2 linked regions of the Daphnia pulex genome follow. The protein of the gene in region 1 purifies or fractionates together with the protein of each later gene. This does not show direct contact. Links are inferred from orthologs where the notes say so. Each region holds a gene or a part of one and is shown on either strand. Other genes may lie near its edges. The genes, in order: serine/threonine-protein phosphatase 2A 55 kDa regulatory subunit B alpha isoform-like and serine/threonine-protein phosphatase 2A catalytic subunit alpha isoform.

Region 1 (15,995 bases):
TGTGTATAGACGCCGGGCATAGCAGCCGACGTGAACGCAAAACGGAAATGGGTGGGAGGAATAGGACGTGGAGAAAGGAGACACCGCACGTAATACATTGGTGGTTAATAAAACGGTGCGTGTGTGTGTGTGTGTGATCGATCTATACGGCCATAGCTTTAAATAATATACACACAAGACAGTCACGCTGCGTGACGGTGTGGATCCCGACGGTTGTCATTCTTCCCGCATTCATTAAATTATGACCCGTCCTTTACGGTCGAGAACTACTATGAAAGGAAACTGGTGAACTGACTTTTTGCGATGGGATGCGCTTAAATGTTAGCGTGATATTACAAGAACTGCGGGAGTGAATGTATACTAGCTATACTATGATCAGTCGTCGTATATGCATACAAGTGCTGGAGCTGCTGCTGCCGACGATTAGCATAATGTGTTGTTAATTCGGTTGGCGTATGATGGAGACCCCCCAAAAATTATTAGCTACGGCAAAAGGCTCTGTAATTATTAATTAAGAAAGTGGGGAGGGGGGTCATTAAAATAATTGTTTCACCTGGTTTTTTGCTGTTTCCAACGGCCGTGTTCAGCATGGAGCCCAAGCGGGTGAGGCTGGACTGGCGGATCATCAATGGCTTGAATGCTGGATGCTCCATATTAGAAGATTAAACATTAAGTGAGGTTCTCTCTATATTACACAAAGAAGAATGGCACAGCACAGACACACACAAAAAAGAATAATACAAAACTACTTTAGACACCAGTGCAAAGTGCTCCGTTGATTTGATTTCTTTTTTCAAAGAAAAATCACAAAAGTTAACACACTAAAAAACCAAAAAGAAATAAAGAAATATAAATCTTTTGATATTAGTTTTAAGGAGAGAATAAGCGTATAGATAAAAACTAGTGGCGGGAGGATAAAGTTTCGGTAAGTGTGAGAAAAGGGAAGTAAAGGTGGGAAAACATGAAACATGTAACGGGCAACGAAAAGGATCTGCTGATAAGTTTTAGTCCGATAGTATATATACTACGCGCCGCAGAGCATTTTTATAAAAAGGGGAGATAAAAAAGCAACCAACCCCTGGCTCTCTCTATTACGTCATTGTGTGTAGAGGAGAGGAGAAGCTTACAACAGCCGAATCTATATAGCCCCAATGTGTACTTTGTGTTCGGTACCGGTTTAAGGCTTTGAGTGCTTTAGCTAATAGATTAAACAACGCGGGCTCCTAATGGCCGCACAGCAGCAGTAGTAGGCGGTGGGGCCTCAAATGAAGATTATGTATACGGCACAGAATACCAAGAAGCTGCTGCTGCTGGGCCTGGAAAATCCGCGCCGAAAAATTCAAACAGTTTTCCCTTGAAAGAAATCGATGAATGAGAGAACTGCTTCCAGGAGGCATATATATAAAAGATTGCAACCAGCTAGGAGACACGGAGCTATACACGTATATGACCTTTGAAGCCGATGCGCCAACCAGCCAAGGATCGATGCCAAGACTCGACTTGTGTGCTGTCGGCCCAGGTGGACAGCACAGCACAGCAGCAGCTCGGCGGAACGACAATCTCCGCACTTAATAGTTGATGCTGTATAGCGTCTTGTTCGTTTCCTGCCCGCGCATCTTAATACCGGCACAATATCTCAATTGATTACAAATTATTCCGCCCTTGTTTGGGTTATTCATGCCAGCGCACTTATCGGGCTCTTGTTTGTACCTCTCTCTCCCGGCTCGGCTATTATTCGGCATTTTTTTTAAATTAAATTCTTTACACCTTTTTCGTTCACTTTTAGACTTTTCATTTTTGTCCGATCGTTCGGCCATTTTTTTTTCTTTCTTCACGGCCGGATCGATCGCCCCTTTTCTTTCCCAATGGACACACCACCGACTGCGTCTCTACGGAACTTTTTTCTTTTTTTGGGTTGTTGCTCCTGCGATTTTCTATATGAAGGAGCTCAAAAGTAAAAGTTAAACTCATTTGGGAGCCACCCTTAAGGAGGCACAGGTTCGATCAATTCTTTTCCGCTATTTTCTTGTGTGCGCGCTCGCGGAGAGATCAAAGCCGAGAGACGAGAGTTGGATCAGGTCCCAGTCAGTTGCAGACTAGCCGTGAGGATCTAACAAAAGACGTTGATGGTGACAGCTGAGTGACACGTCAGCCCAACCACTCGAATGAGACAATTGGATCAGAGAAGCGATCAACCACCAAGATCCCAACTATATACTCAATGAGAGAGAGAGAGGAAGGATCGCTTCACGGGGGAGGATCTCGCTTGTTTGGGTTGGCAAAGACCCATAATACACATATATATAGAGAGGTGCAAAATCGTTTCAGTCAAGAGACATATATCCATCGGCCGATCAATATTTACTATAGACACACACACTGAGCGGAGGCCAGGCTGGCAATCAACCTCGGGTAAATCCTGTATATCATATCTCGCCAGGAAAGGATATCGCCCCCCTCTTGTCAAGGTGGGTAAGATAAGTAACCTCGGTCGTCTTGGTGAGTACATACAGGCGAAAAACAGCATTTACTATGAACGGGAAAAGCGAAAGAGGATACGCATACTACTACCCGGATACTATACACAGCAGCTCCAACCCGGAGGAATATGGAAGGAAGGAAGAAAAAACGCAAATAAGACTTTCTATACTCCGGAGCTGGTACACATTGGGAGAGGAAGAGATCATCAAATTGAGGCAAATGACGGAGACTTCCTTGATGATGGACGAGAGATAGGATCGAAATGAAACCAGCTGGTCCCCTCCGAAAATCTAACAAGGTCTTCCTCCCGATAGATAGTGGATAGACGTTCTATCGATGTAGACATCCATCTCGTCCATCTTTCAATCATCTTTTCCTATCTTCCTATTGTGTATATCGTTCCATTTTTTTTTGTTTGCCATCGTCGCTAGTGGAGAGGGGGGAGAACCTCTTTGGCTCAATTTTATTTCTCGAATAAATCAGAGATCGATACGTTCGAGATTACGTGTTTCGTCCATCAATCGAAAACTGCCAATCTGAATGAAAGGTCATCCTCGTCCTCTTGATGTGTGTATATAGTGTTGACTGCTGTTCTCTCTCTCTCTTGCCGGAGGGGGAATCAGGACGAAACTACTACGTCATTCCACTCTGAGTCAATAATAGTTGAAAAAGAAGTTGACGTTCGTCTGAAACGCATTAGCTATCAAGTTTCGTTGCCCCATTATTCGTCTCTCTCTGTCCCACTTGGATGCCCACGACTTGGATTCTTCCGTGTAAACACTATAGTGTACACACGTACTTCTCTCTCTCGTTGTCTAGCGTCGCATGTTACGACTTTTGTTGAATTGCGGAAAAAAAAACTGAAATTCAAAATCTTACACCGAAAAACCAAAAACGACATCCATTTCAAAATGACGTTTGTTCTGCTGTTGCCAGATTATTTTCAGCCGCCAGTAACATAATAATCTGTCGAAAGTAAAAAGTTTAAGTCATCCAGGGTCGAACTCGTCTAGAGCTCAAAAAGAGAAATGACAAATGGCAAACAAAGCATCAGTCCTCCAAGCCAAGTTGTCAATAAAAAGAAACTGAACTCTCGGCACACTGTTGACTCTGTTGACAATTTCGGATGACGTTCTTATTTTCCTCAGACTCCGAGTGGATTGCCCCGCGTTGTGGAGAAAATGTGGAGAGCCGCCGCCGTTGCGGCAGAATAAGAGAGAGATCTTCAAACAAGGTGCAGTGCACACAGATGGATTCCGACTTGCACAAGAGTGGGAAGAATAAAATAAAATCAAATAAAAAATAAAGAGAGAGTTGCTGAGGTTTCATTTTTGTAAAGCCGCGCCCTGCTACGGTCTGGAAAACTTTTACAAGCGGGGGGGAATAGTCTCTAAATAAGACGAAAAGACAAATAAAAGAGAAATGAGGTGATCCATCATCCTCTCTCTTATTTCTCTCTCTCTGTCGCCAAGAAATTGATTTCTTTCGCTACTCTCTCTCGCAGAACTTGTCTAAACAAACACTTACACAATAAGCGATAGTATATATAAGTAAGAATATACAAGTTCCGCCGTATATAGATATTTTATTTCCCGGCCCAGTTACGACTTTGTGTCTGTGTGTATTATAGTACTACGTCTGTAGCTGCTCTGTATTATAAGCTGCCGATCTTATTATTTTTCAAGTTTTTTTTTCAAATTTTTTAGACGTCGAGACTTGAGAAAAAGTTTTTCGTTGGCTTTATTGTGTAGGTATATATATTTCCCTTTTATTTTGGTTTCCGCTTCGATGGTTTCGGCTTAGCGCACCGGGATGTGCATATACCTAATAGCTTAAGGAGGGAGAGGCTTCGGCGGGAGTTCACCCAATATGTCAGTCACTTTTATTTTGATATGGGCACGTTCAATATTTCTATATTGCTGTGTGTGGTTGTTATGGTTATGTGTGTTCCTGTGCTGTGACTTGAATTCATGTTTGATTTGATTGGATCCCCCCTCTCCCTTTTCTTTTTTCTGACGTTGTCACGAACGATCGAGTTATTTTGAAGTAAAACTATTCGCATTTCAATACCTATACTACATGTGTGTGTGCCATTTTTGTTTGCTCGTTCGGAATTGTGCAATTGAATTCACGATGCAACAAAGACTTTACGTATATAAGCTCCTTTCTTTTAAATTTTGGAGCATTTCGATTCAGTCTTTTTCTCTGCTGAGAACTTTTGTTTCACTTTTGCTGTCTGCTCGCATTGATTGCGACATTCGTGACAACAGGTTTCTTTATCGCCCCCTTTCAGATTTTTCTTTTCCATTCAAATTATTATTCCAACGTGAATTTCAATTGATTAAAAATTCGGCGATTGACGCAATTCGAAACTACCGCCAAAACAGACAAACACATTTTTCGGTTTTTTTAAAGTGGGTCATCCTTTGCGTAATCAAAGTGTCGAGGTTAATATCGTCATAAAAAAAAAGTTCCCTTTTTTATCAAACGGTCTGGGCCAGCCATATAAAGATATAGAGGCTTGCATAATCATTGGTTGCAGGCCAAGTGTGTTATGCACAGAGATGTTTGCCGTGACACTTGTCAAGTCACTAGATAGGGCGGCAATATATTAAAAAAAAAGCTCGAGTTGTCAAACGCAAAAACGTCTCGATCGTATAATCTAAAAGAAAATTGAAATAAAAAAGAAAAGGAAAGATTGAATAAAATGAGTCGACTGACCAAAATTTTATACAATATTTGCCTAGCGGACATTTAATCTGACGGGTCTTAAATTCTATGCCGTTAGCCGCTCGTAAAATGTTCCCACTCGATAGCACAAAAGGTCGACTAATCCATACATGTAGATTCCCTCCAGATAATAAAGTCGTCATTATTGTACAACAGGCTTCCTTATATTCTTTCCTTCTCCTTTTGGCTTTGTGTGTGTGGATCCTCGACGACGTGGAGGAAAGATAATAAGGACAAGTAGGACACGGAGAGAATATGGCAGAGAAGAGGGGCTTCTTCTTCAACTCTTCTCGGTTCTTTTCCCTGTTGATAGTTTGGCACACATGACATCATTAGATTTCTTCTTCTTTTTTCAATTGGCTTCCCATCAGAGAAGTCACAGGTTTCGGTCTGCATTGAGTTGATTTGATATTGCATTTTCTACCTGACGGACTACTATATCGTTATTCAGCAGTCGACCCTTTCAAATATAATACCGCAAGTCTCTATATGTGCTGCTGGATGGTGAGCACATTAGAGCGCCGTCCTTATAATGCAATAACGGGTCTTTTGTTTCAACTTTGACCAAGTTAACAAGGAGCGGCGATGCACGTAATAACAAATACCGCGGGGAAATTGAATTGCATCCACGACGAAAGAAAAGGGGCAATAGCTCAAAACCCGCCATGTCTAGTAGAGATAGAATAGCATGGTAATAGAGTCTGATATCATATAGGAAAAAAAGGGCCAGTCGAGTCCAGGACGAGAGAGAAAGGGGTACCCGCGCAACTATTACTAGTACTACAAACGAGGTCTATATAGATTAATAAACGGGAAAACTTTTTCTTATCACGTTCCAACGTAATGCAATATAGCAGTATCACCTGGAAACCGAACCCCCCAAAAAACAAAAAAACAACTCTCTCTCTTATTCATTCAAAAGTCGAGACAAAAATTTGGATAACAAGAATAAAAAAACACGAAGAAAAAGGAGGGGGATTGCATGTCGTTCATTCTCTCTCTCTCCCGAAAAAGGCAAAAAGAAAAACACCAATTCTTTTTTGGGGGGGTTTTTAATTCTTGTTGTTGTTGTCTTTCTCTCTTTCCCCTATGGCTCTGTACTACTACACAGCGTGACTGTCTCTCACGCTCCCTTATGTGAGTCGCTTGAATCTATACTATACTTCTTTGCTTAGATGTGCGCTGGTTGGAAGACAGTTCAAAGTCCCGCGTGATATGGCAACACGGAACGCTCACGCGGTTCAACCGTTTCTCTTTTCGTTTCCAAATTTGTTTTATTTTTGTCCTTTTTTTCTTTTTTGATTTCATCATTGGAAATCCAAAACGAAATAAAAACAATGGTTCGAGCGCGCCCGGTGTGTCTGTATATGTGAGACGAGAAGAAGAAATTTAAACTTTTAAGTGGAACGAGGAGAACTGCCTTTTCTTTCGGCCGTGATTGCTGCGCTCGGCTGAGACTGCCGGCGCGTGCGCTTGTTTTTCTTTATTATTATTATGAAGAAACAATTGTAACGTGAATCCAACAGCTTGAAAGCGAAAAAGAAAAAAACCAATAATACAAAAAAAAGGGGTGCCGCTGCGCCAATCGAATTGGAAATGATTTTCGTTCAACTTTTCCAAGGGAGCGACGACAGACAGACAGAAACAGAAATATATCAGACACAAACAGAAGAAGAAGAAAACAACACAAAGCGCTGAGAGAGAGAAAAACAGCTGGGCCCGGCGTGTTGTTGTCGTCGAAGAAATACGCAGACTATAGCCTAGCTGCTGTGCTAGTGCTATATACACGAGAGCTGAAACTGCACCACCTTTTGTCCGGCAGCATCGTCTCGAACGCACAAGCGTGTGTGTCAACAAAATGCGCATTAGCGTTTACACGCAGTCTCGAATGATGGAAATGACGGCACACGCCGAATATCTAATAACTGCCCGTGTGTGTGTGTGTGTGCATGACTGCAATAAGAGAACCTTTGCTTGAGAGTATTTTTTTGTTTTGTTTCTTTTCGCCTGAATCAGAGTTTAATTAGCTAATTGCCTTCATCGTCTAGATGATTACGAATGTCTAGCGCCGGGGGAGGCCGGAATTAGTAGAGAGAAAGGGGAAGTATAGGTAGAGACGGCCACTCAAGCGGATAATAGCCGTTGGGGGTGGGGTGGGGGAGGGAAGTTATGTGCATAACCGATATATATATATATGTACTACACCATTGACAAAACAAAAGAAAGGGAAAACTTAGAAACATTAAGAAATAAAAAAAATAAAAAAGGAAAAATGAAATCGTGTCGGCCATTACCTCTCGTCTGTGTAAGAAACGTAGTCATAAAAATCCCAGTCGAAATTCGATTAGGAAAATGTCGCGGAGACCAGACGGCGGAATAACTTCTTTTTTATTATTTGGCTTTTTTTTTTTCCTGTCCACTAGAGATGATGTAAGTGCGTGAATGAAACAACTCTCGTAATAAAACGTCGCGCACTATACGCACACGGGAGAAGAAAAATTCGTTTGATTTTTGGGCGGCTGCGACGAGCGTCAAACTGTCGTCGGCGACGGCGTCTGGTGAATAAACGAGAGCCCCGACCGATGATTAGGTCTGGAAAAGAAACAAGTGCTGCTGCTGCTGCTGCTGCTGTGCGTGTATCAGACACTCGTCGATAAGAGGCGGACGCCCGTTTGATTTACGATGGCGGGCGCGAATCAACAGCCGCCGATGGAGATATTCCAACCAATTCAGGAAAAAAAAGAAATAATAATTTGTTTCGTGACGATTGCACGCGGGAGTTCGCCTTCACTTTGCGTCACTGTCGTTGAACGTCAACCGAGTGAACGGGAAAATATCAAATAAACTCAATCGGGAAGAACCCGAACAAACAACCAAAATAAAAAGAAAAAAAAGGAAAAGGTGAACGCGCTTGGCGGTCAGCAATGGATCGACTCCGGGAATGGGAATAACTTTGCATCGGCTACTGCTGTGGTGGTGGTGATGGACGTGGATGATTTGAGGTGGTGACAAATCCGCAGGAACGGGAGTAGCATGGCGTTGTCCAATAAGGAATAAATAAGGCAGGGGGCTATATCAAATGCCGAACCCCGGCGTGATGGGAATTTCTTATCGAACGAAAAAAACAAAAATAAAATATTTCTCCGGTGAAAACGACTTCCTCCTTCTCTCCGTTCAAGTCTCTCTCCTTCCTCCTTCCCTCCCGGGCACGGGTGTCTAATGATAACGATCCGAATAACCCCGGATTTCGGTCGACGCAACACCGGATGAACTTGAGATTATCACGTTTGATGATGGTGATGATGATGAACGACGCGTGATATGTCTAAGAGCTAGAACAAGGTCCTCTTCTTCTTCGTGAAAAGAGGTTGTTGTTTTGAATTTGAATAAGGAAAGAAGGGGGGAGGGCGGGAGAAACAAAAACAACGAACGGCGGCTTGTTATTTTGTTTTGTTGTTTGAAGTAGGGCGCGCGGGACACGCAGATAGAACAAAGCTTGTCTTGATGCCCGACCGGGACCAACTGTTGGAAAATGGGGAAGTTGGACGACCAAACACGGCAGAGCGCCCACCCGCGGACTCGGGCGGCGACGGCGCGCGGCGCACGGGCTCACGACGTGACGACGCCAGCGCTCTCTGCCAGCCCACGGCACCAAACAAATCAAACCAAACGAAAGGTTGGACTGGGCTGGCAAGGGTGGGGTTATAGTTACCGATATAAAAGACTGTCTAAACGTCTGCACGTATACGGTTTATATAAACATTTCTCGGCGAATGAAAATCGACTTTGAATGAAGAAAAGAATAAAAAGAATAAAGGGCCAACTTTTAGAAATTTGGGGAAAAGTTGCGCTTATTCCATTAGCGTACGCTATGTATATAAGCGCTAAGCAAATTGAATAATGAATCAAAGACATCGCCAAGTCTAGACGCAGGATTGTACCGCGGGCTAATGGAATAAAGTGGATCGACAGTGAGCTGGAGAAGAAAGAAAGGAAAAACAGCACGGGGCCCAACTTCTTTGAATATAAATAAAGAAAAAAAAAAGTAAATTGGATCGCACAGGTGAATCTCATCGTAAATGCTGGGCGGAGCCAAAAAATGAGGGCCCGGATGGTAAAAGGAAAAGAACGTTTGGCATGGCCACACCACTTTCGGCACAGCAGCAGCCGTTTCCCGAGCAACCCAAAGGCAAACGACGTCATCGCAATGTCACATCGGCTGAATCACAAAATAAAAATGTGTGTGATGTCGCCGAGCGCTTCTTTTTTTATTATCATCATCATCAAGGCTCTTCTTCTTCTTTCTAGTCTATCCTTTTATCGGGCGCATTCTGACGTCATTGGCCGACTCAACAACAGGGGCCCACCATCATTGATTGTGTTTTTATTATAACAAACGAAGAAGTAAAAAGTTTAAACGACGGAAAAAGTTTGCAACGGGAAAAAATATTTATTTGATCTTGCGCCCCCATCACCCGACGGTTTGGCGCTATCAACTTCTTATCACAGCGAGAGAACTTGTTGACTTCTTTTTCTTTTGCTCTCCGTCCAAACAACTGAACTCTGCGATTCTGTCGTCGGTATATATTTTCGTTTTGTTTTTCCTACTCCGAGGACGCGACGTTTGGGAAACTGGCCGTCATCACCCGACCGTCGAGATGGACATCAAGCTCCGCAATCTCACATCAACGTCTGTGTGTCTGTGTACAGTAAACACACCACCCACACAATCAATGTGTGTACACATGCTTGGCGAGTCCGCAAAACGGGAATAGTAAGGACAACAAAAGAAGGAGGAGTTTGAATCGAAGGAGCGCAGTTGAGTCATATGGGACGACTCTCTTATAGCCCACAGTCTTATACTTACTCTCGGACGGATCGATCATTTCTGGGTCACCAAACAGAAACTTTAACGATATAAATACACACGCGCGCGTGTCCACTCTGTTTGGGGGCACACTAAATCCCCTCACCCCCGAGCTGAGGGATTGACTGTTACGTCATCATCCTTTATTCCCATTGATCCAAATGGAAAAGAAGAAGAAGAAGAAATGACCCTTTTTCCATTCGAGTGTGGGATGAGTGCGCACCTCGGACTGATCTTATGGATTACATTTTTTTTAAATCCTTTCTTGATTCTTCCCGCTATAGCGTCAAGAATTGTTGTTCGGGACGATCCTGCTGTCATTGGCGCTCGCCAGATGGCACGATCGTTCCAGGAATCCTCTGAAATTCGCTCCCATTTTTTCTGTGCTCTTAGCCGTCCCTCTTCGATTCGTTTTGTTATTGCGCAACGGGAAACACCAATTTTTGAACAAGAACCAATGGCGAAAATCCTCGTCGGTTAATTCCATTGATAATGAATGGCTCGGGTCGATGCGCTAGATTGAAAATCACGTCATCGAATAACAAACAATTTCCAAGAGCGCAGAAACAGAGTGAAGGGGTAACCTGTTCAGCTTAATTGGTTGCTGAAACTGAAGTTCCTTTTTTTTATTTTCTTCTTCTTTCCATTTGATAATCGCCTTCTCCCCGTCCCTTTTCGGAGCTGCACGAGCGAAAACTGGCAACGACACACATGCTGCGCTGCTACACACTCGGGTGAATGAGCGAATGTAATCATCCGAGTCGCGTCTTCAACTAATCAGCCACTCGACGCTGCTTTTGCGCTTGCTTGTTTCTCTCTGCTGCTGCTGCTGGGTATATAGGTGGGAAGAAGAAGAAGCCTTGTATAAACTGTTATGTACTTTGTGTGTGTGTGTGTGAGTGTGCTGTTGTTATTCGTCGTTATGCTCGACCAGCTTTCAAATAGACAAAGCGGTTGCCTGGCGATGACGATGGAATATCTCTCAAAGCACCAGGCAAGTCCTCGCCAGTGATGATCCAATCTATAATCAAATAACGTGCCGTACGGTACGTTGTATGCAGCACACAAAAAAAGAAATGTTTTGGAAGCTGAAGGCGGGAGACACACATGCTGGGCTGCCTCGTCCCCGTTGTTAAATCGTTTCGTACCCGTTGACTCCAATCATCAGATATACAACACCGGACCCCATACAAATTTAATAATTCACCAACACTCTGCGTATTACATACGAAGCCTTATATTCCCTGGAAATAATATTTCATTTGCTGTGCAATGTTGTATTTTCATGAAAATTATTTTGTTTTCCTACAACGTCAAACTATTACACAGTCCACTTGGCCTCTTTTTATTTTTCCCCCCTTTCTCTCTTCTTTATATATATAGGACCCCCGTCGGCTATTGCCTAGTAAGACTCGTGTGTTTGTATATACAGTCAGGTGCGCAAGGTGGAACCTGATTCGATCAAACAGGGAGAACCGGTCGTTGGCTTGTGTGGGGAACCTGATGTTCAACAACGTGATTCGATCAGAACCGAGAGAGAGAAACAACCAAATGAAATAAAACTTGAAGACAGTCGACCCAGAGAGAGAGAGAGAGAGTCCCGGTGGAGACTTGACAAACAAGAATTTTATGAGCCAAGAATAATATAAAGAGCCATCGATTATTCTTTTTCTTTTTTGTGTCTGTCTGTTTTTGGTTATGTTATTTTGCATCGGATATATTATGTTGTTGAGGCCATATCCTGCTAGTAATGCCAGCATGTGTAGATAGACATTTGGGATATCGAATTCTTGGCTGCCCAGCTGCTGCTGTGACAACCGACACAGCCAACTAGAGTGTTTTTTACTATACTTATTGGTTGTTGTTTTTTTGTCGATCGTGGAAAATACCAATAAGAATAACTGGAAAGGAATTGACGAGGAATAAACCCATCAAGATAATGGAGCCATCTGACTCTCTCTATTGCGGGAGCAAAAGGAGATGTAAAATATATATAAGGAGCATTGCCCAAATTGAAATTTTCTTTTTTTTTTCCTTCAAAAGTGCAGTTTTATTGGAAATATAACGTTCGTAAATGGCCTCTTCGACGTGAGTTTTCTTTCAAAAAAGATGAAATGATAAGAGACAATGATGCCAACAGACGAACAAATAAATCAATGTTATACAACTAATATACTATAACTTTTTTAGGTAAATAAGAATATGTCGATGCTATGTCCTTATACATCATATAGAACGCTATACAGCTTTTACATTTACTTATGTAATAATAAGCCTGGTTGGATATATTTTTAATAAATTATAAACCACACATTTAGATTTTATTTTAGTTTTTTTTTTCTCATCGGCGAAACGGAAAAAGGAATAAAAAAGGAATAATTGACTTTCAAATTTCAAACACAGTATAATACCGTCGGCATGTATATATATTTATACTATTTTCATCTGACAAGAGGAAGAGAGAAATTAATAAGTTTCGCCAAAGAATCAGGAATCGGGAGCAGAGCAGAGAAAAGTCAAAATCCAATCAAATTGGACTGGTAATAGGTAGAGCAAAGAAAAAGAAGACGAAGCGGAAATTGATCAAAAGAGGATAGAATTAACTGAAAAAAAAAATGATCAAAACGTCGAGAGAATTACACGCGAGCGGAATATTATCTTGAAGAATATAATTTCAGAAACAAATTAGCAGTAAATAAATATTCGGCGGCATTTTTAAAAATTCTTTTTTTTTTCATATTTTTTTTTCTTCTTCGATGGATTATCGGAAAACGTGATAGCTGGGCATCACGTTAGCCCAAATGAGGGATATCGTGATGACCGATGCGGCCGCCGTAACTATCCGCAGCCAGCCGGGTCGATCTGATGGCGCACTGTTGCATCCGTCGCCGTCGTCGCAGCTTTGAAGGCAGCCATTAACGTACCTGAATATAGCACACGGAGACGCATCAGCAATTGGCCAGCACCAAAGAGACATCGTTCCAACAAAACCAACAAACACATCAAACCAAACATATCACTCTGTGATTTCAGACGCATATGCAAACACGCACTTGAATTATTATTAAGGAGGGAAACAGAGAGAGTTTCTTCGTCGTTATAACGGGACAAGGTACTAAATCAAATATTCCTTCGAATTTATTTTTGAAATCAAATTCGGAACAGTCAAAACTCCATTAGGTGTCGTGAAAAATAGACCACCGGTCTCTCTGTCAAAACACAAATCTAAAGGTGAGAAAAATATGGGGTCCAGTTGAAAGTACAATTTGAAGGCAAATGAAGAGTGAAAGGGTGTATAGAGGCGGAGTGATGTAAGGAATAGAAAGTGAAATGTGCACGGTGTAGAATAATAATGCAGAATGGGGTTGTGCACTGCTTGGGAGCAAAGAAATATAAGAGTGTCTGTTATAGTATAGTGATGATGTGCGATGCTTAGCTGTAATCCATCAAGCCATGCCGACGAGTAGGATATAGTCTCAAAACTTCATGCTGGCAATCTCTTTCGTTTAGAAAGGACGACGCCCAGGCTCAATCAATCGCTTCAACGAGCATTTCAAACCCGCGCGTATTGAATTTCAATGGCCGGATAGTACTATACTGGCGAAGCTGGATAACTCGGCATCCAGCAGTGCACGGCCGACGAGACTTTTTATATTTCACCCGCCCACTATACTGGTATAATAGACGCGGGAGTGAGAGGCTGTTATAAGCCGGAACACGAGTACGGAGAGCACGATCCCGATGTGTTGCTAGACGACGCAGTCTATATATCGTTGGGAAATCCGGAAAATACAAAACGAAAACAGCCGACAATATAAGATGACAGTAAAAGTTTCCTCTCTCCCAATTTTTAGTTTTGTTTTGTTTGGTTATCTGTTGCCCTCGGCTTCTTTTCTTCGTGTCAAATAAATAAATTGATGGGTCGTGTAACTCTATATAGCTGCAGAGCTTATATTATTAGTATGGGTTAGACAACATCCCGAGTGCGCGCGGGCTGCTGAGTGTATATAGCCTCAACATCCGCCGGAGAGAAACAAAAAAACAACCACATCCAGCGAGTACCACCCCACATCACCACCAGTGTGCTGCTGCCAACATTATGCGCATCTCAAACACAAACAAGACAACCAACAGACAGACACACAACACGTTTCCTCTCTACAGGCACAGCCATTTGAGATGCGCTTAACACGGACCTCTCAGATATGTGTGACACCGCTACATATATCATGCGCATTCCGGCATTCTCTTTCCGCATGCTTCCATACACACACACAACACATTCCGAGGATGCCCAAAACTATAAACGACACGATTTGCCAATATGAAACAAACAAACAGTCAAGATGAAAGGTTTTCGGTGGTCGTTTTTTTACCTGTCGTCGAAGTACAATCCTCCACAGTGAGACATGCGAATGATTTCTGTATCTATTGTCGTCGTCCCAGAGTCCAACGCACAACCTCTAACTAATGGCGCATCATTCAATGAACAGACATATTAGATCGACGCTTATAAATGTTGTAATAATAATCCAATATGAATAGAAAATGAGCAAGTATCGAAATTGTGGAACGTACCTACAATCGTTTCGCCCGTATCGTCTGTATAGAGAACGAAATAAAAAGACAAGGCGCCGGGCGTAACGATCGAGTGTGTGGACGAAGTGTTGATCGAAGAAGACCAAAAGAGAGAAAGAGAGAAAGACAAACACGAGACACAACTTAGAAAGATCAGAATATAATCAAATGATAACAAAAAGGCTATGACCAGCTCTCTGCTGATGCGTATCAAAATATAACCAAACAACCATCTCTCTCTAATCAAATCTAGATTATGATAACATTGGCCTCTCTACGAAAAAATACATGTAGTATATATAACCAGTTAGATTGTATTGATTATTATTTCTATAGCTAGATAGATATTTTTGCTGTAGATGATTTAGATCCGAAATGAATTCGGTTTCGCATGCGATTGATCGATGGAACGAAATACCCAGCGACAGGTCGATATCGGGCCAATATCACGGGAAAACCTCAACTGCGCCTAATAGCTACTGGCCCAGCAGACGGACCACGACAGCTGCTATTCGTCTAAGTTCTTTCGATTACCGGCCGCCGCCGCCGCCATATATACACTCACTTTCTTTTCCCTCCATTTAATATGGGAGGAGGGCCGTGGGGGGGGGGAGGGCTTGTGGGTGGATATACATAGACGAGCGAAGAAAGTTATTGTGTGTTCAATCCATTCTTCTCTTTCGCGCAGCTCACGCAAGGCCTTTTTTTTATCCACAAGATGAATTGCTCGCCGGGAAAATAGTGGATTCATCACTGGGGCTGGGGGGACTATTATACTGGGGAAAACGGTCCGGTTTTTTTTTGGGGTGGGGGAGGGGATTGACTCTCTCTGTTAAAACACACTTTATATATATGTGTGTGTTGCTACAGCGTATGATAATATTGATCGCGTTGAATTGCATGTATGTGGGAAAGAGCTAGACTTGGATGGCTATCAGTCTGACCTTCCATCCAGAACGAAACTGCCACAATGGGACATTCGGACCAATTCCGTGTCAAGTGTCAGTGTACCAGAGTCCAGGGCGCAGGTACGAATCACCATCTTCTCGTAATTACCGTCGGCTGATGATTTGTTGGATGGACGCGGGGCGTTGGTCGACGTGAAATCGATTTGAAAAAAACAAAATAAAATAAACAGCAGGTTCAATTTGATTAGACAGATTTTTTTTAGGTTTCAACCTTATATTCGGCCGTTTCGAAATGAAAATGAAAAGATTCAATTCTATAAAAAGCCATTCAAGAAACAGTGCCCTAGTTACCTGCCGCCCCAACATGAATTTAGACTCGTACGTTAATAACGAAAGAAAACAACTCAAGTTTCGATGCCGTCAGAAGTAAG
Region 2 (16,319 bases), on another chromosome or scaffold:
ACAGAAATAGGAAGGAAGTTAATCGCTTATTAACAGGTAAATTACAAGCAGCGGTTTTCGTCTATATACGAATTTTCGATTTTCACCGGCCTTCTTGGAATTCATAAAATACATCTGACAGATTCGATTTCATACGTCAAGGGCATGATTCGTGTTCCATCATCCACGGGGATATTCACGGCACCGCGACAGAGAATTTATTTCTTTTAATTCGCGGGAACGGTGTGGATTTCATCTTCTTCATGGGATTATTATTATTCTTTCAGTTCTGATCTGAATTTGAACGGGAATGTAATTGGGGGGAGTTTTGTTCGAGAGAACAGGAAAGTCACTAATAAATACAGTCCGTTGACCCTGTCCAATTGACGCTGGACTTGAAAAAAGCCGATCGAATCTGGGTGACGATTTCTTCTACATAAAAATTGATTCAGCTTTTTATTTTGAAATTTCACTTGAAATCAACACGAAAACGATGCGTCTACACATCTTCTTTATTTTTAATAAGTAAGACAATGAAACGCTGTTGGTCCCTACGTACAGTAAATGTCATTCCCTTTTTCGGATTTAATCTACAAAATAAAACGACAATTTCACGCAAAAGGAAGATAAAGAATAGCAACGGTCATTAAATTTAATCATTTCGTGTTAGTTCATTTAACGGTTGCTAATGGGAATCACGACTGGGTCACATGTCGATCAAAAATTCGCAATTCAAATTCGAGATAGAAACAAAAAAAGTTCTTACCTGCTGCCTCCACTTTGAAACGTTCGTTTGGTATTTTCTTCAATGTCGATGGTGTCTTTTGTCTTCTTCATCTTGCCAAGTGCCAGGATCGTTTATTCACGGCTTCACGCTCATGAGGGATCAATAATGATGATGACAAATTATTCCTCTGATTACGTCAACCTCTCTAGAATCAATCAAACCAATGCCTCAAAATCAACGTATTTTCAACATTAATCTCCATCTCACCAGAATCAACTAATCGTAATCGAATTGTTTCAACTTTAACAGCAACACTGTGTTGGCAGCCTCATCGTCTAACTTAATATCGAGACAATGGAGAGTTGGACGCTCAGTTTTGATTAAACTTTGCACAGCAGACGAACTTCCTTAAGAATCGAGAAAGCGGCGATGCCAATTCATCATTTAAAAAGTGGAAACAGCAAAATAACCCCAATTTTTTTATTTCTTTCTTTCTTTTGCCAGTGTAAAATTTGGAATTGACCTCAAACAATTTTGATTTATTAAAACATTACCATCAAGTCATCAACGAGCATAAAAAATTAAAAATAAAGCTCAACGTTGATCCCAATTCCCAACAATGAATTTTGTCATCCATGTTCCCCATATGTAAAAAACAAAAACAACAAAAACTTGCGGATATTTTGTATGCGCTAAATTTAATCCATGTTCAAAATCCTTTACTAAAAATAAAATTAAGATTTTGGTTCGAAAAGGACGTGTCCTTCAAGACACTCGAATGTTAAGTTTTGCTGTTGTTTCGCATTACTAAGATGGATCAAGTTACTCTTCTTTACTTTTTGTGTTACAACAGGCAATACGTAATTTCTTGTATTGGAGCCGAGACGTTATTTACCTCATTCGGTCTTTGACAATAATCGTACGTTTATTGAATTAGTGAATCAAATATAGAGCAGCGACAAATAGAGATAATTCGCAGGGTTTGCAGTCGAATGACAGACTCTGTGGTCCGGAAACTTGACCCGACTTGCCCTTATGCACAAAAGAGCTCCCTTAGTGACAAAAAACAAACAGAAATTCACTCTAGGTTTCGGGCTCATCTCCAGCCATCCGAGCTTCGCCTCTCCCCTTAGACCGCCGCCATGTTTCAGACAGTTGAGATCTAGAGGATCATATGTCAATTACGTACAAACCTTCGAAGCGCTCATTTGAAATGCAGAGAAACAAGAGAGGAAATATTATGTACAGAAAAACGTAACAAGAAAAAAGAAAATGTCAAATTAAAATTTAAAAAAAAAAGGGAGAAGAAGTTTTAGGAATTAACGAGTTGGTCAATGTTCTGGCGCATGTACGTAACATTAGCACTTGCGTCATAGCGCATTACGGGCACCCCTTGGCGATTAACAAGAAATTTCTCAAAGTTCCAGCGGATATCGTTGACGCGAATTTTGGTGTAATACAATTTGGTGGCTTCTTGGAAATAATCTCGAGTAGGCGGACAGCAACTCTGTAAATTTGTAACACAATTAGTAACATTAATAGCTAAACAAAATAATAACTTGACACTATTCACCTTCAGATAAGAAAATAAAGGATGTTCATTATCGCCGTTGACATCAATTTTTCTGAATAGTTTCATTTGGGGTTGAAAATTGTTACCCGGTCGAACGTAACGGATTCCGTTCAACACTTCCAAATCTGAGCCACCTGGTTCTTGCTGCAGTCATTTAAATAAGAAAGTTGTTGGACAATTTGATTGTTGAATCGATAGGGAAACGGAGCGGATTTACCTTGCCGAACTGGTTACAAGGGAAAGCTAAAATGGCCAAATTATCGGCAAGCTCCTCTTGTAGTGCATTCAGTTCGATGTACTGTTCGGTAAACCCTCAGTAAGTCGCCACATTGACGACCAGCAATACCTGAATTGTCCCCAAAATTTAATTGAAGTGAAAAAAAAAATCCAATAAAATAAATGAGTTACCTTTTGTTTGCCATTCCTGTTCCTGAAACTTGACAATCGAATGTCAGTATCTTTAGTCAGAAGTTTCTCGGAAAATCGAAAAATGGTGTCGTTACAATGACATGGTTGACTTTTACGAAGCTCAATAACGACATCATCTTCAGCGAAAGTTTGACAACCCCACAGCATCAGCGTCAGCAACACGACGCTAATGGCGCTCATCTAAAACAGGGGAAAACAAGATGCTCCGATTAATGACAAATTCAATACAAAACTAAATGTTAAAAATTCGAATACCATCTGAGCAGCGGCGGCCACCATAGCCACGAACTGCGAGTCAGAGAACGACTTGCGCAGCTACCGAGATTCGCTGTGGTTGAAATAGTCGCCATACAGGAAGAGTCAATTAACTTTTAGAGGGGCGTTATTGCGTTTCTTTTGGGAAAAAAACCCCAACGATTAGACTAATAAGGACGGGGCAATATCTTGTCAACTGGCACCGCCCCATTCGAGTTCAAATGCATCATTTAAAAAGGAAAACTGCTGTGCTTCATTTGTAGCTTAAACTTCCATGTATTCATCCACAGCCGTCGTGAGGGAAAGTACGAAACAGACTCGAGCGGACAAAACCGGCAACTGAAACCGGATCTGACGGCCCCCGAATGCACAAGGGAGCACGAAAACGAGAGCGAGATGGTAAATGATCTCTCGTCCGTCACATCCTTAATTCAAGTCGAACCGAATTTCAAACCTCTTCTCCAAATCGCCGCCATATTTCGGGCGGTTGAGATCTGGAGTGTCATTACGTCACGCGCGCCAATCTCGTTTTCCCCCCTCACAACAACACGACTGCTTCTAAAACATTTACAAGCAAGTTAAAAGTTCCCTCAAGCGGAAAAAAAAATAAGATTCATAAACAACAACATCTACACGAGAGAGGGGAAAAGAAGGGATTCAATGTCATCGCGCATATCCGAGACCCGAGAACTGGCATCGTAACGTTTCACAGGTTTGCCCTTGCGGCTGATTAGAAACTTTTCGAAATTCCAGCGGACGTCGTTGTTGCGCATTGGACTGTAATCCAGTCTGGCGGCTGGTGCGAAAAAATCACGAGTCGTCGGGCAACTTTTCTGTTATTAAAAAACGGAAAAAGATAATCAAGATCCGCACCACTCAGTATTACGACGTCACACGTCGTGATGATAAAAAAAAGCATAACTTACTTTCAGATAAGAATATAAGGGATGTTCGTTAGCGCCGTTGACATCAATCTTGCGGAAAAGCGTTATGTTCGTCTGGAAATCGTTTCCCGGCCGGACGTAACGAATCCCGTTCAGAATCTCCTCATCTGTACCTCCGGGTTCTTGCTGTGAAAAGTTCAATAAAAAAATTATCAGATTGAAGAATCGATTTTTACATCACCCAGGAGAGGTTAGTGGCATTTTCTAAAAATAGTAATACCTGTCCAAATTGATTACAAGGAAAAGCTAAAACAACCAAATCATTGGCAAACTCCTCTTGTAGTGCATTCAATTCGTGGTACTGATAGGTGAACCCTCAGTAGGTTGCCACGTTAACGAGGAGCATCACCTTTTGTTTCATAAAAAGAAGAAGAAAACAAAATAAAACAGGTGTCAGAGGATACGGAATGCGCACCCTTGGCGGTTTGCCAGACTGTTAGAAACTGGTAACCTCGAGAATAATAATCAGAAATGGATGTCACCTTCCCGCTGAATTTCGAAAGGCGTAATGTCCTTGAGCTGTTGAGCCCCTTCTCTGCATAAGCATAAACGCTGTCAATGGAAGAGTTGGACGTGACGCAGTGCTGGCTCACTTTGATCTTGTCTCCGCTTACCATGGGCCCCAAAAGGGTGGCAGCCGTGAGCAAAATGCCCCAAACCGCCATTTTCACCCGATCTAAAAAATTTAAAAAAGACATTACATCACATGCAATTCCAATAACAATTCATAACGTACGGATAAAGATCTAAATTCAAAATTTGTTTAAAAAATGTAAGCTTTGTTTTACCGTTACTTGCTGGATAAAAAAGAAATCAGCAAGTTCAATCTTCTCACCCGGATGGGTGCTCGATCAAGACTAACGTTTAAACTAAACTCGAAGTTGGTTGATGAACACATCGAAAAGTTGCGACATTGCAGCAAACGACATTAGCTACGCAGTTTTTTCTATTCCAGAAGCTCCAACCGGTGTCAGGTTTCTTGCTTAACCTACGTGATTTAGAGTACATTTTGCTTAAACATTAAAGAGACTTTGCCCTGTGGCGACTTTGTACATCAATCGCTGCAAAAGACTTAAGAAAACTCGTAGTCATCGCAAGCAAAGTCAGCCATCCGTTCGGAATGAGAGTGCACGACATCCAACTGAAAGAATTGGTGAATGATTACGATTTGTATTGATCGAGGTGAACTTCCAGCATTTTTTTTTTGTTGGCTACAAATGACAGTGACGGGACACGACATTTAAAAACCACTCTTCTTCGGCTCGCTCGTTCGTTTTTTTGTTTTCTCTTGTTGTTGGATTTACTTCATTGTTGGTTGGTTATTTTTTTCCCTTAAGTGTGAACTGGATCGCGTGGTCTTATTTTCGAGGAGGGAGGAGGAAGGGAAGGTTCAAAGGTCACCATCTAGATAGTTATTAGTACAGGACACAAGGGGGGAAAGAGGGGAACAGCGACATCAGCATGTCCCCATCTGATGTTTTCGAGACAAGTCATCAAAAAAAAAAAGCGTTAGTACAATGGAAATCTGATGCTCGTGGTCTAATCTTTTTGTTGGTTGTTTGGGCGGCTCGTCTGTCGGTATACAGTTGCTCTTGGCTCTGACACGCGCTCTCTCTCTCCTTTTCTTCCACCTACTTCTCCCTCACTCTTTCAACTCTTTTTTCTTAAATAAATCGTAAAAGATGGTTCGAGGGTATCAACGGGCAGGTAGGAAAGGGGACAAAAGAAAAAGGGAAGTGATACTAGAATATACCAATTGCACGTTACTCTCTCACGCATTTACGACACGGGCGAGAAAATAGGGAGGGCGGGGTGTGAGGGAGGGGACATAAGGAGGTTTTTTTCCGACACAAAAAGAGAAGATTCCATGTTTCATTAATATTTGTAAAGAACAAATCACGAACTCCAATTTTAAAAAAAAAAAAAGAAGAGACTGTAAGGGAATAGTGTGTGTGTGTGTTTTTAAGGGGTAGAGGGGGAGGGTATGGATGTTGATCTTTTTGCTTTCCATTCAAGAAGAGGCGCATAAAGAGGACGTTTTAGTGGGGATGTGCAGGGTACTCTTAAACCTCGACTTAGTAAAATCTATACTCCGAGCGAGGAACAAGAGAAATGAACCGAGCATGAAAGAAAAAGAGAAGAAAAAATAATAATAATGATAGTAAATTGAAGGAAGAAAGGAGAAAAATTCATCGGTGTTCCGCGATATTTTTTTTTTTTTGCTCTTAAAGGAAGTAATCCGGCGTGCGCCTGGTTACGTGAGGTTCTCCTCTTCTTGGAGCTGGATCGAACTGCAAGCTGTAATTTCACAAACGAGAAAGAAAATCAATAAATGTCTTCTAGATGTAAATTTAAAATGGCTGTTTAAAAACTTACAAGGAGTATTTCAATGAATCATCCAGTTCCATAATGGCCGCTTGGTTGCCGCACCGGTAACAATAGTTGGGCGCAGAGAATATCGTTACCACATTGCGATCGTGACACCTAATGAAGCAATCAAACGTTCAGCCCCAGTACCAACAGATATGTCTTCTGTAAGACAAAACATTACCAGTTATATCCTTCCATGACAAGTTGATGAGCCCTAGAGACCAGAGTCAGGTTGTTGGAGTGATTGAAAGTTTCGGAAATGTCTTGGCCGAAGGTGTAGCCAGCTCCACGGGGGGAAATCCCCCAGCCACCTCGGTCATCTGGATCGGACCATAACAGGTCGCACATGGGGCCCTATTTTAGCAAACGAGACGTATAGGTTGACTAAACTGTGATGTCAAAGTGTTTTCAGACAGCGAACTAACCTCGTGAGGAACTTCTTGGAGACGATCGAGAGATCGAATGTGATCTAAAGTGTCGATAGAAGGGGAAAGTCCTCCGTGAAGACAGAAAATCTGACTGTCGACAAGTGCTGTCAGAGGAAGATAGTCAAAAAGATCGGTGAAGTACTTCCAAACGTTAGCATTGCCGTATTTCCTTAGGCACTCGTCGTAAAATCCGTAGACTTGTGTGATCTGACGAGACTCGTGATTTCCTCTCAAAATGGTAATTCGTTCACGGTAGCGAACCTAAATTGAATGTAATGGAAAAGCAACCTTAGTAACAGTCATACAAATGTACAGTGGAAAAAGTTAATCTAATTCTCAATTGAAAAATCAATAAATATTTCAAAAGCTATCAGCTGCGTAATTAGATAAAAGCCTCCACAAAGCTTTGGGCAAGCCCACCATAAGGAGCAACTTTCAATTGCATCATCCAAATAGTCAACAAACCTAGTCATATCATATTTGAATCTTATTGATTACATGACTTGCAAAAAAAAAAATTCCAAGTATTACCTTGAAATTCTTAATATCCTACTTCTAGATAATTAGTTGAGTCATGTCTGTGGAATAATAAGCAACTCACCTTGAGGGCAACAAGTAATGTGACTGTCTCAACGGAATAGTAACCTCTGTCAACATAGTCTCCCATGAATAAGTAGTTGGTATCTGGAGATTTTCCTCCAATTCGGAAGAGCTCCATCAGGTCATGAAACTGTCCGTGGACATCACCACACACGGTGACAGGGCATCTGACTGGCTGAACATTTGATTCTTTGGCCAAAATTTCTTTTGCCTGTCAAATATAGAACAAACCATAAATATTTAAAGCATTCCATTGATGCAAAAAAAAACGTTGAATGTACGAACCTTTTCACATAGGGTTTTGACTTGGTTCTCGGCCAACTGCTTGCATTCGTTAAGCTGCTCAATCCACTGGTCAAGTTCTTTAACCACTGCTTTCTCTTCCATGGTGAATACTTTACAAATTCGTGCAATACAAAAGTATCAACAGACAAATTGATGTGTCGGTGGGGCCACGAAAACTCAAACGTAACTTCTTGGGCTTGCTTACACTTAACAGAGCGGGTTTAACATGTATCAGTGGCCACCCCCTTTCTGCCACTTTTTCCTAGATAGGAAAATGGCCGCTTCTTTTCATAACGAAGACTTTCGCCACCAGGGGCAGGCTTAGAGCGTTGTGACGTCACATCGTCTCGGCAACGGCTGCGATTCAACATTGATTATATTCCCTTTAATCTCTTTCTTTCTCATAAAACACAAATCAACAGTTTCAAAGCATTATTTTTTTCTTGATACTACTTTTTACTAATTCGAAATAGATTGTCATTCGTTTTCATTGATTGTCATTCAATGTTAATCGATATCTTAATAATCGATTCAGATTGACGATACCAAAACAAAAAATTTTCGAATTTCTATTTTGACGTTTACCATTATTTTGACCAAATCCCCAAGAAATTGGTGTGGTTGAATGCTTCCAATATTTAATATTGCATTTTAATTATTATTTATGCTTAATTTTTAAAATTGTAAAAAATGTTGTTGTCTTAGTTTTATCAGTACAATTGACTTTTAACCTTTTTTCAAAATTATTGTTATTTGCCACAACATGAATCAGGACATCAATTATTTATTTATTGCTGAATTGAATTCAATACATTACAAAGTATGAAAAATACATTTCCTTTTTTAACTTGAGTGTTTTTTTGTTTTATTGAAAACTATCAATTTCGAACTGGATTTAATATAAGGGAAGAAACCGAAATAAGAACGCATCTAAATAACACGTGATAGATAAATGAAGGGAATAACATCACTTCACTTAAACTTCAGGTTGATTTAACATGGGTTTAGGGGCATATGCAGGCGGGCCAGGATTAAAGAGCATTTTCAAATCATCAATAGTTAAACCCTTAGTAGCCAACTTCGCAGCTCCAGTAAGTATGCCATTAGCCATTGCCAACTTTTCCTGCTGCAACTGAAGGATTCTTTCTTCTACAGTTCCCTGAGTTATCATTCGGTGTACGTGGACATCTTTAGTTTGGCCAACGCGATACACCCTGTCGCAGGCTTGAGCCTCAAGCTGAGGATTCCAATGCATATCTGCGATGAAAATATGGTTTCCTCCAATTAAATTGAGGCCAACTCCACCAGCACCCAAGGATAGAAGAATAACCTGAAAGCAAAGGAAATTGTTAATAAAACTAGATTTCGTTAATCAAATAAAAATAACGAAGAAATAAAAATATAAATCTTACCGGTGCACCGTCTGGATTGCTATTGAAATCTTCTACGATTTGTGTTCGGTGTTTGATAGCAACGCTACCTGCGATCAAATGGCAGCGAATGCGCATACGCTGAAAATGCTGGGCAAACAGATCCAGCATGGATGTCCATTGCGAGACCACCACAGCTTTTTGTTTTTGAGAGACAACTTTCCTGACCTCCTCGGTAATGTACCGCATTTTACTGCTCATATTATCGCGATCGAAAACTGGGTTAGTATGGGTAAAGAAGTTGGTTTCTTCTTTCTTCGGCTCGCCCGGTTTATTGTCCAACGTCATGGTGGACATTTGAGAAATCAAATCCAGATCGTTTTCCTCGATTTTGGCGTCTTCGCTCCCCATAGATTCCGAGTCAGTGGCATCCAACATTGTTTGAATCAAAGCGGGGTGAGAGCAAGCCTGTCTGAGGCGTAGGAGGAGCACCAACATCATCTGTTTCGTCACGTTCTTTTGGGGAAGTTCCGGAAGATTCTAGAATTTAAAAAAAGGATTGCGTAAGCTTCACGAAACTAACCACTTGTTATGACTCATTTAAATTACCCGGCGATCATAGGTGAAACCGTAACCTTCTTTAATTTTGTTTTCTTGATTTTTGATGTATTCCTCTAGTGCCTTGCGTGAAAAGGCGAGGAGTTTCTGATAGACTTCGTTCTCTTCTTGTGATAACTCTACGTTGTGAGTGTGTACCTCCCTAAAAAGAAAACGTGTAAAATGTTGCAGCAACTGCAATAGCAAACCAGCATTCATACCTGGCAGGCATAGCAACTAGCGGTTTTTCGCTTCCTTCTACCTTTTGATCTTTGGTTCGACGCAAGAGGAGAGTTTTGATCAGAAGCTGAAGACGTCCTTGGGCTTGTTCGTTTTTATTTTTTGAAGAATCGACCCATCGCTTCCATACCTGTAGTTGATTAGGTATTACTTTAGGTACAAAGAAGCAATAATTAATTCCGAGTCTTACCGCCAGCTGATCGAACGGCGTGACACGAAGAAAGCGGAGAAGGGAGTACATGTCCAGCTCTTTGTTCTGTACTGGCGTGCCAGTCACGACCCATCGACGGGAAGCTCGGAGTCTGCACACTGATTGCGATATTCCGGCTTTAGGATTACGGATCACATGAGCTTCATCTAAAATGATTCGGTCAAATGCGATCTGCAACAGAACTGACTGGCTCATGGCCTTGGCATCGGTTTCCACATCAAAATCTCCAATAGGCTTAGAATCGCCATCCTTTTTGTCCAAACTCACATTCGCAATTTCGCGGGAGACAATCTGTAGAAATGTTTGAAATTTTAAAAATAAACAAGAACACAGAAAACGTATGCAGATAAGACAAAGACACAACTACACAAATGAGTAAGTGTACCTGATAAGTTGTGATTACAACATCATATTGATGTAGTTTGGACGCTAACTTGTTACGATCTGGTCCATGAAAAATAACAGTACTCAACGAGTTTCGCTTGCAGCGACGATGAATTTCCTTCTCCCACTGGCCTGATAATTTAAAAATACATGAACACAAATGCATATCACTGTTCAAATAAAAGCTTCACTGCAATCAAATGTTTTAACTGTGAATCAAAATGAGTCATAACTTGTGACTCATAAAAACGCGTTTGAGAATTTATTGAAATTCATCTTTTATCTAATCAAAATGCATTCTATTTATTTTGGAGAAAAATGTAATGCATCTAGCAATAACAAGTACGATTTTTCCACGTGCAAACTAATTTAGGACGCCATAACGTAAGCCGCGCCTTTTCCCAACCCTTCCGAGTGTGTAACCCTAGGCCACCCCCCCCATAACCGGAGGTTAGGTAGAGGGTGACCTTGCTTCGCAGATTCAGTTTTGTTGCCGGCATTCACACGTGGTAGTCGATTTATTGTCGTGTTCGAGACGAGCCAAAATGCAACGTGAAAATGAAAAGTCGTTAAGCTCACCAGGTGCTTTTGTGTCTCCGAATTCAACCTCGAAAATACTTTCTCAAACCCTCGTTAGTAGACCTAAAGGTATTGCAAAACAAAGGCGAAACGAAAAACAGCAGGTTTTGTACCACTTGGAGCAAGTCATCGACGTTCAGGTAAGTTCAACTAAATTGAAACTTGTGTATCCTCTATTGAATGTGAGATATTTTTGATTAGGAAATGCTCCATGCTTTGAGCACACAGAGTATTGGTAGTGCCATTCGTCAAGACTTTCTTCGCGGATTACAAGGGGCTCCACAACTAAGCCAGGAAGATATCGAAATTTTGAAGACATTTCATCGACTTACCACTTCAACTAAAAGTCCTAAAACTCTACTTGAATTTGTCATGAATGCACCGGTAAAGAAACTCGTTCTGTGACACTATTACTATCGTTTACTTTAACCACGTTGTTTTATCTTTAGATCGAAGAAAACTTAAAAGCATCCGAGCATTTCAAATTTCTGATGGAGGGAGAAAGAAAATCAGTTCCAGGGACTAACATTACGTACTACGATGGAAAGGCAATCATCTCTCGGATCCTTCGCAGTGGTTATTTCAGTCAACGTCGTTTGAACAATGCCAAAGTGAAACACGAAAACGTACCGATTTCACCGTCTCAACCAACCCCGACAAGTCAAACGACACCCAAACGAATCGATTACCAAGATGTCGATGTCGACAGTCTTTTGGTCAATTTAAAAAAACAAATGGAAGAAACAAACAGAATCGTCTAGCCAGAAGATTTTCACAGTCGTAAAACGTAAGTCTAAACGAATGTCTAGAATTTTACAAATTCAATAATCGCTTTTCTTTCATTGCAGGCGAGAAAAATTCTCTACGAGGAACTTGTTACTTATTTCACTCACTGTCCTGATGTTACAAAGAAATTCCCATTCCCCGTTTGGTTCATTAACTCTTTCCATGTTTCTTGCCACTTGATTGTTGTGAAGCTACGTTTAATAAACTAAGTTAATTGGATAACACTTACCCACTACACTGGCGGGGCAAACAACGAGAGTACCAGATGACCTTTTGATCTTGACGGTCTTGGAGAGCCAAATGTTGGAGGACGCAGGTGGTGGAGGATCTAGTTCCTTTTGTTTCACGATCAATGCAATCATGGTCAGTGTCTTGCCTAAACCCATGTCGTCCGCCAATATTCCACCTAAAAGAAAAATAAGAATAAATTAAGTTTAGGGAATAACTGAATGAACAAGTAATCACGTCGCTTACCAGCAGGAATTTGAGTCTCGCGCCATAAAAGCCATTTGAGTGCGCGCTCCTGGTGCGCCAAGAGAGGAACTGTGAGGCAGGCGGGCGTACTCTCCACATCGGTTTCTTTTGGGCAACTGGCGAGAGAACGATGAAGGTTTTCAAGCGAATCCATAGTGATGGAAACAGCCTCACGACGGGCAGCAGCAGAGATGTAACCTATTTAAAAGGAGGAGAATTTGAGTTGCTGTAAAAAAAAAAACATGACTATTATTACTAACCGGTTTCCGTTTTCTGGTAGAGTTCCTTTCCCGCATTATCGGCAAACATCTTCTTCTGCATTTCGGTTAGTCTGGGAGCTTCAGGAAGAAGTTGGGTTTTTTTCGGTTTTACAGCTAATTGGCGATTCTGCGTGTCATTTTGGAAATCCAAATGTTTTGAGCCGTAACTGCTGCTGCCGGCGTTGGTTGCATTGGCAATTGACAACTTAATAAGACGACCCTCCATGGCACCGATTTCAGTTCGCAGGCGCTCCTTGTCGTCGCTATTTGCGTTACCCATGGCCCACTAGAAAAAACAATAATAAAATTTATCTTATCTTCAGAAAATAATTGTTGGAAAATAACCTTTTTCATTTGTATTTGTTTTCGAAGTTCATCTTCTTGGACTTCACTTGACGCTACTGATGAAACTGGAACGGGGCGCATTGGGGGATTTACACCGAGTTTGTTGGCTGTTTCTAGCTGTTCAGTCAGCTTACGAATTTTGTCTCGGAGCCTTTCTCCTCCATCGGGCAATGATTTTAAATTTGACGATACCAAAAGAAGTTTTTGGCGCTCAAGATCTTCACGCATCCGCGTTATTTCTGCTGCCGAGAGTCGAACAGGAAGAGTTCGTGCAATTTCCGGTGATGATAACTCAGTTATGCTCTGATCTTGTTCTTTTCCTTCAACTTCAGGGCTCGAAAAAGATACAACAGTACTTGATACCTCAAGAATACTATTGGATAGATCTTGGATCGGTACTTCTTCTTCCTCTACAAGAGGCTCAGGAGGCGAAAATCTTTTATCGGCCGATTTCCTCGACATTTCCTGAAATAAAATAAAAAATATATTAAAGGTCTAATCATAGGCAGCTTTAATCACGGCCAACTTACATGATTAGCGTTAATGGGATCCATGTTTGAATCATTCCCCGAAACGTGTCTATCAAGACTGGTATTGCGAAGAGCACGCTGAATCGCTTGTGGTGTAGGGATACGAGAGGACGAAGGGAGCCGTGGGGCAATGGCTTCAACCTCATCTTCGGTAGATACGTCACTGTCGATGATTTGATCTCGGACATGAGGAGTTTTTATACGAGGAACCCTTACTTCTTCTTCAGTAGATACGTCACTGTCGATGAATTGCTTTCGGATACGAGGAGTCATCTCTTTCCTAATATTATCCTCAGACTCATCTTCAGTGGATGATAATGCAGCTTTCCTTCCAGTTTGTTCACGATAGACTCGCGGTGTTGCTTCAACACTAGAATCGGACTCTTCACTAGTGTCAGTGTCAATTGCTTTTCCTCTAACCGGTGGTCCACTAGAATCGGAATCACTATCAATTGGATTTCGGGTTGGCTTCTTCTTAACGGAGGAACCAAAAGAATCTTCTGCGGATTCGTCAGAGCTATCAGAAGCATTGGCCTTCTGAATTGCCAAGCCTTCAATGTCAGAAGTTTCAGCAGAATTTTCTCCAGAACTTTGAATCACCAATTTTGCTTGACGCCTTCCAGCTTGAATTACTTGGTAAGATTCATCCAGGTCTCCAATTTGACTAGTTGAATATTTTTCACTAGATCCAAGACGTTTTCCTCTCACACGATATGACACATCTTCTTCATCAGACTCATCATCAGACTCGTCTTCTGAACTCTCAATAAATCTATGAGCCTTTTGCTTCGATCCTTTTTTAGTTTCAAAAGGACTGACAACCAGGTTAGAGGATCGACTTTTATCTACCTCATCTTCAGGTTCCTCATCATCTGAAGATCCAGGCCTAGATGAATGCTGGGACTCCTCCTCTTCTTCTCCCTCAACGCTGTAAGAGTCTGAATCTTCTCCCTGTACTGACTCTTCTATCTTCTCTGTACGTGAAACAGCAGATGCTTTCACATTAGACTTTGAGTATTTATTAAAAGAATGGGCAGCTGGAGTTTCATACGCCTCGTTATCAGACACATCTTCAAATAAGGAAACAGAATGATGTTAGAAAGCCTTACTTTTCAAATTCTAAATGTTTTACCTTCTGGTGTAGATGGAACCAGGTCACTTTCATCATTCAATGGGAACTTGGACATTTTGTATGTCAATTCAGCTTAAATTCCTCTAGATTCTGGATTTGAAATTTAGGTGATCATGAACCAGTAGAGCATTAGCATAATGTACAAAAGGTTTACCATAAAATACGAAGGCAGCAGTAGAAAGATGACAAATTACCTAGCTTCCTCTCTGTCTGACCTGGACTATTCTCGTGCTTTATTAAATATTTCGTTCGATAAAAGAAAGAAGAAACAACGGACATGAGTACATCACCAACTCCTTGTCACACTTGTTCACGATTTCTTTCTAAAATTTTCGAATAGAAATACTGAGGCGTCGTTGCCAAATATAAAAAAAAGAGGAGCCAACGAAATTTTATGAATTATTTTTTTAGTTAGAAAAACATTGATTAGGCAAATTCCTATTTTGAACTTTATGAGCAATTTTTAATTCGAATAGGTTTTCCCATTCATATTTATATTGTTGTTTTAATATTAATTTCTTATTTCGATCGTGTACGTGCAACCGCAGTAGTTGGGGAGGAGTCTAGTACGCGTAGTGGGAAATTTGAAAACCTTGCACCATTGAGCATTGACACTGCAATACCACGGTCTAACCGTGGTAATACTATCTCTTTACATCAAATTATGAGGTGAAGTAAATAAAGGATAAAGAAAATGTTGCATTCTTTTATTCTATTCTTTTAAGAGTCAAGTTAAACTTTCCATAAAATCAATTTTTTTTAAAATCAGTTTGTGGCAATTTAACCAAGCTGATACACGCGAATATAATCAACCTGCATTGTGTTGTCTTCAGTGGCAGCATTCCATGTGGGTAGCCATTTGTCGCGGCTTTCCCAGAAAGTTTTCATTTGAGTAGGATCAGATGCGGTCCACGGCTTGTCATAAACGGCATTTTGACAGCCGTCAGGGAAGTAGTTACCTCCGACAGCGACATTAAGAAGAAAATGGAACTGCACAAACACGACGACAATGATGTAAATGAAATATTTAAAATAAATAATAAAAAAAAAATATATACTTTTTGATCGAAGGGAGCCATTACAGTTCCACCGCTCCAGAGGTTCTGTCCTTGAAATCCTCCCAATTCCCAGAATCCACCTGCAGGGGGATACATTTCACCAATCATTTGATCATCAATGAAGAATTGGAAACCAGTTGGAAGCCATTCGACACGGTAAAGGTGGAAATCGCTGGCAAAATCTGGATTCTGAGTGATCCTTTGTGAAAAATAAAAACGTTTAACATTATTCTAAGTAGTAACTATAATTAATTCATGCACATATGTAAATTTACTTTTCCCAGTGGGTAAGGTCAAAACGGTTCTGGTTGGGATCAGGACCCCAATGCAAAGTGCTTCCTGCCAACTGTCGCCCTATCGGATAGCCGTTGCACGAAAAATCGGCGTTTCCTCGGGACTCTACGATGTCAATCTCACCCGATCGTGGCCAACCACCATAAATTTCGTCAGTAGGCAACATCCAAATTGCTTTATAGGATATTTCAATACTATTAATTTCCCAATTGTTTTTATATTTAATAACAACTCATTTCTACCTGGCCAAATCCAGTCACCTTTTGGCATTTTAGCTCTGACTTCGATTGTTCCGTAAGTAAAACTGAACGAATCACTCGTCACCATTCGGGCAGACTGAGCTGGATTGATAATTTCATTGCCAGCCACCCTATGATTGATGAAATGAAAATGGAAAATCAAAATATTTTTGTTACTATATAGAAATATTACACGTAGCAGCCTCCATCGATGTTAATATTGCAACCCT

Evidence for each region.
Region 2: the proteins of serine/threonine-protein phosphatase 2A 55 kDa regulatory subunit B alpha isoform-like (region 1) and serine/threonine-protein phosphatase 2A catalytic subunit alpha isoform purify together in Caenorhabditis elegans (affinity purification with western blotting; 3 studies listed by BioGRID, with this or other methods). This does not show direct contact. The link is inferred for Daphnia pulex from reciprocal best matches to the Caenorhabditis elegans genes sur-6 and let-92.

The regions. Positions count from the first base shown.
Region 1 is NC_060020.1:1,075,336-1,091,330, reverse strand, and holds the start of serine/threonine-protein phosphatase 2A 55 kDa regulatory subunit B alpha isoform-like, read right to left. Parts: upstream 8,739-15,995; 5' UTR 7,534-8,738; coding exon 7,506-7,533; intron 641-7,505; coding exon 554-640; intron 1-553. Other genes in the region: uncharacterized protein LOC124192179, read right to left, coding at 12,840-13,002, 15,601-15,718. UniProt on the Caenorhabditis elegans protein: Probable regulatory subunit of serine/threonine phosphatase let-92.
Region 2 is NC_060026.1:13,484,336-13,500,654, forward strand, and holds serine/threonine-protein phosphatase 2A catalytic subunit alpha isoform, read right to left. Parts: upstream 7,922-16,319; 5' UTR 7,693-7,921; coding exon 7,591-7,692; intron 7,517-7,590; coding exon 7,307-7,516; intron 6,967-7,306; coding exon 6,703-6,966; intron 6,632-6,702; coding exon 6,459-6,631; intron 6,392-6,458; coding exon 6,284-6,391; intron 6,206-6,283; coding exon 6,133-6,205; 3' UTR 5,062-6,132; downstream 1-5,061. Other genes in the region: transcription termination factor 2-like, read right to left, coding at 8,567-8,920, 9,003-9,500, 9,570-9,720, 9,779-9,927, 9,988-10,299, 10,394-10,524, 11,987-12,163, 12,232-12,429 and 4 more; uncharacterized protein LOC124203690, read left to right, coding at 10,938-11,111, 11,173-11,355, 11,421-11,732; beta-1,3-glucan-binding protein-like, read right to left, coding at 15,279-15,488, 15,557-15,755, 15,832-16,024, 16,093-16,220, 16,283-16,319.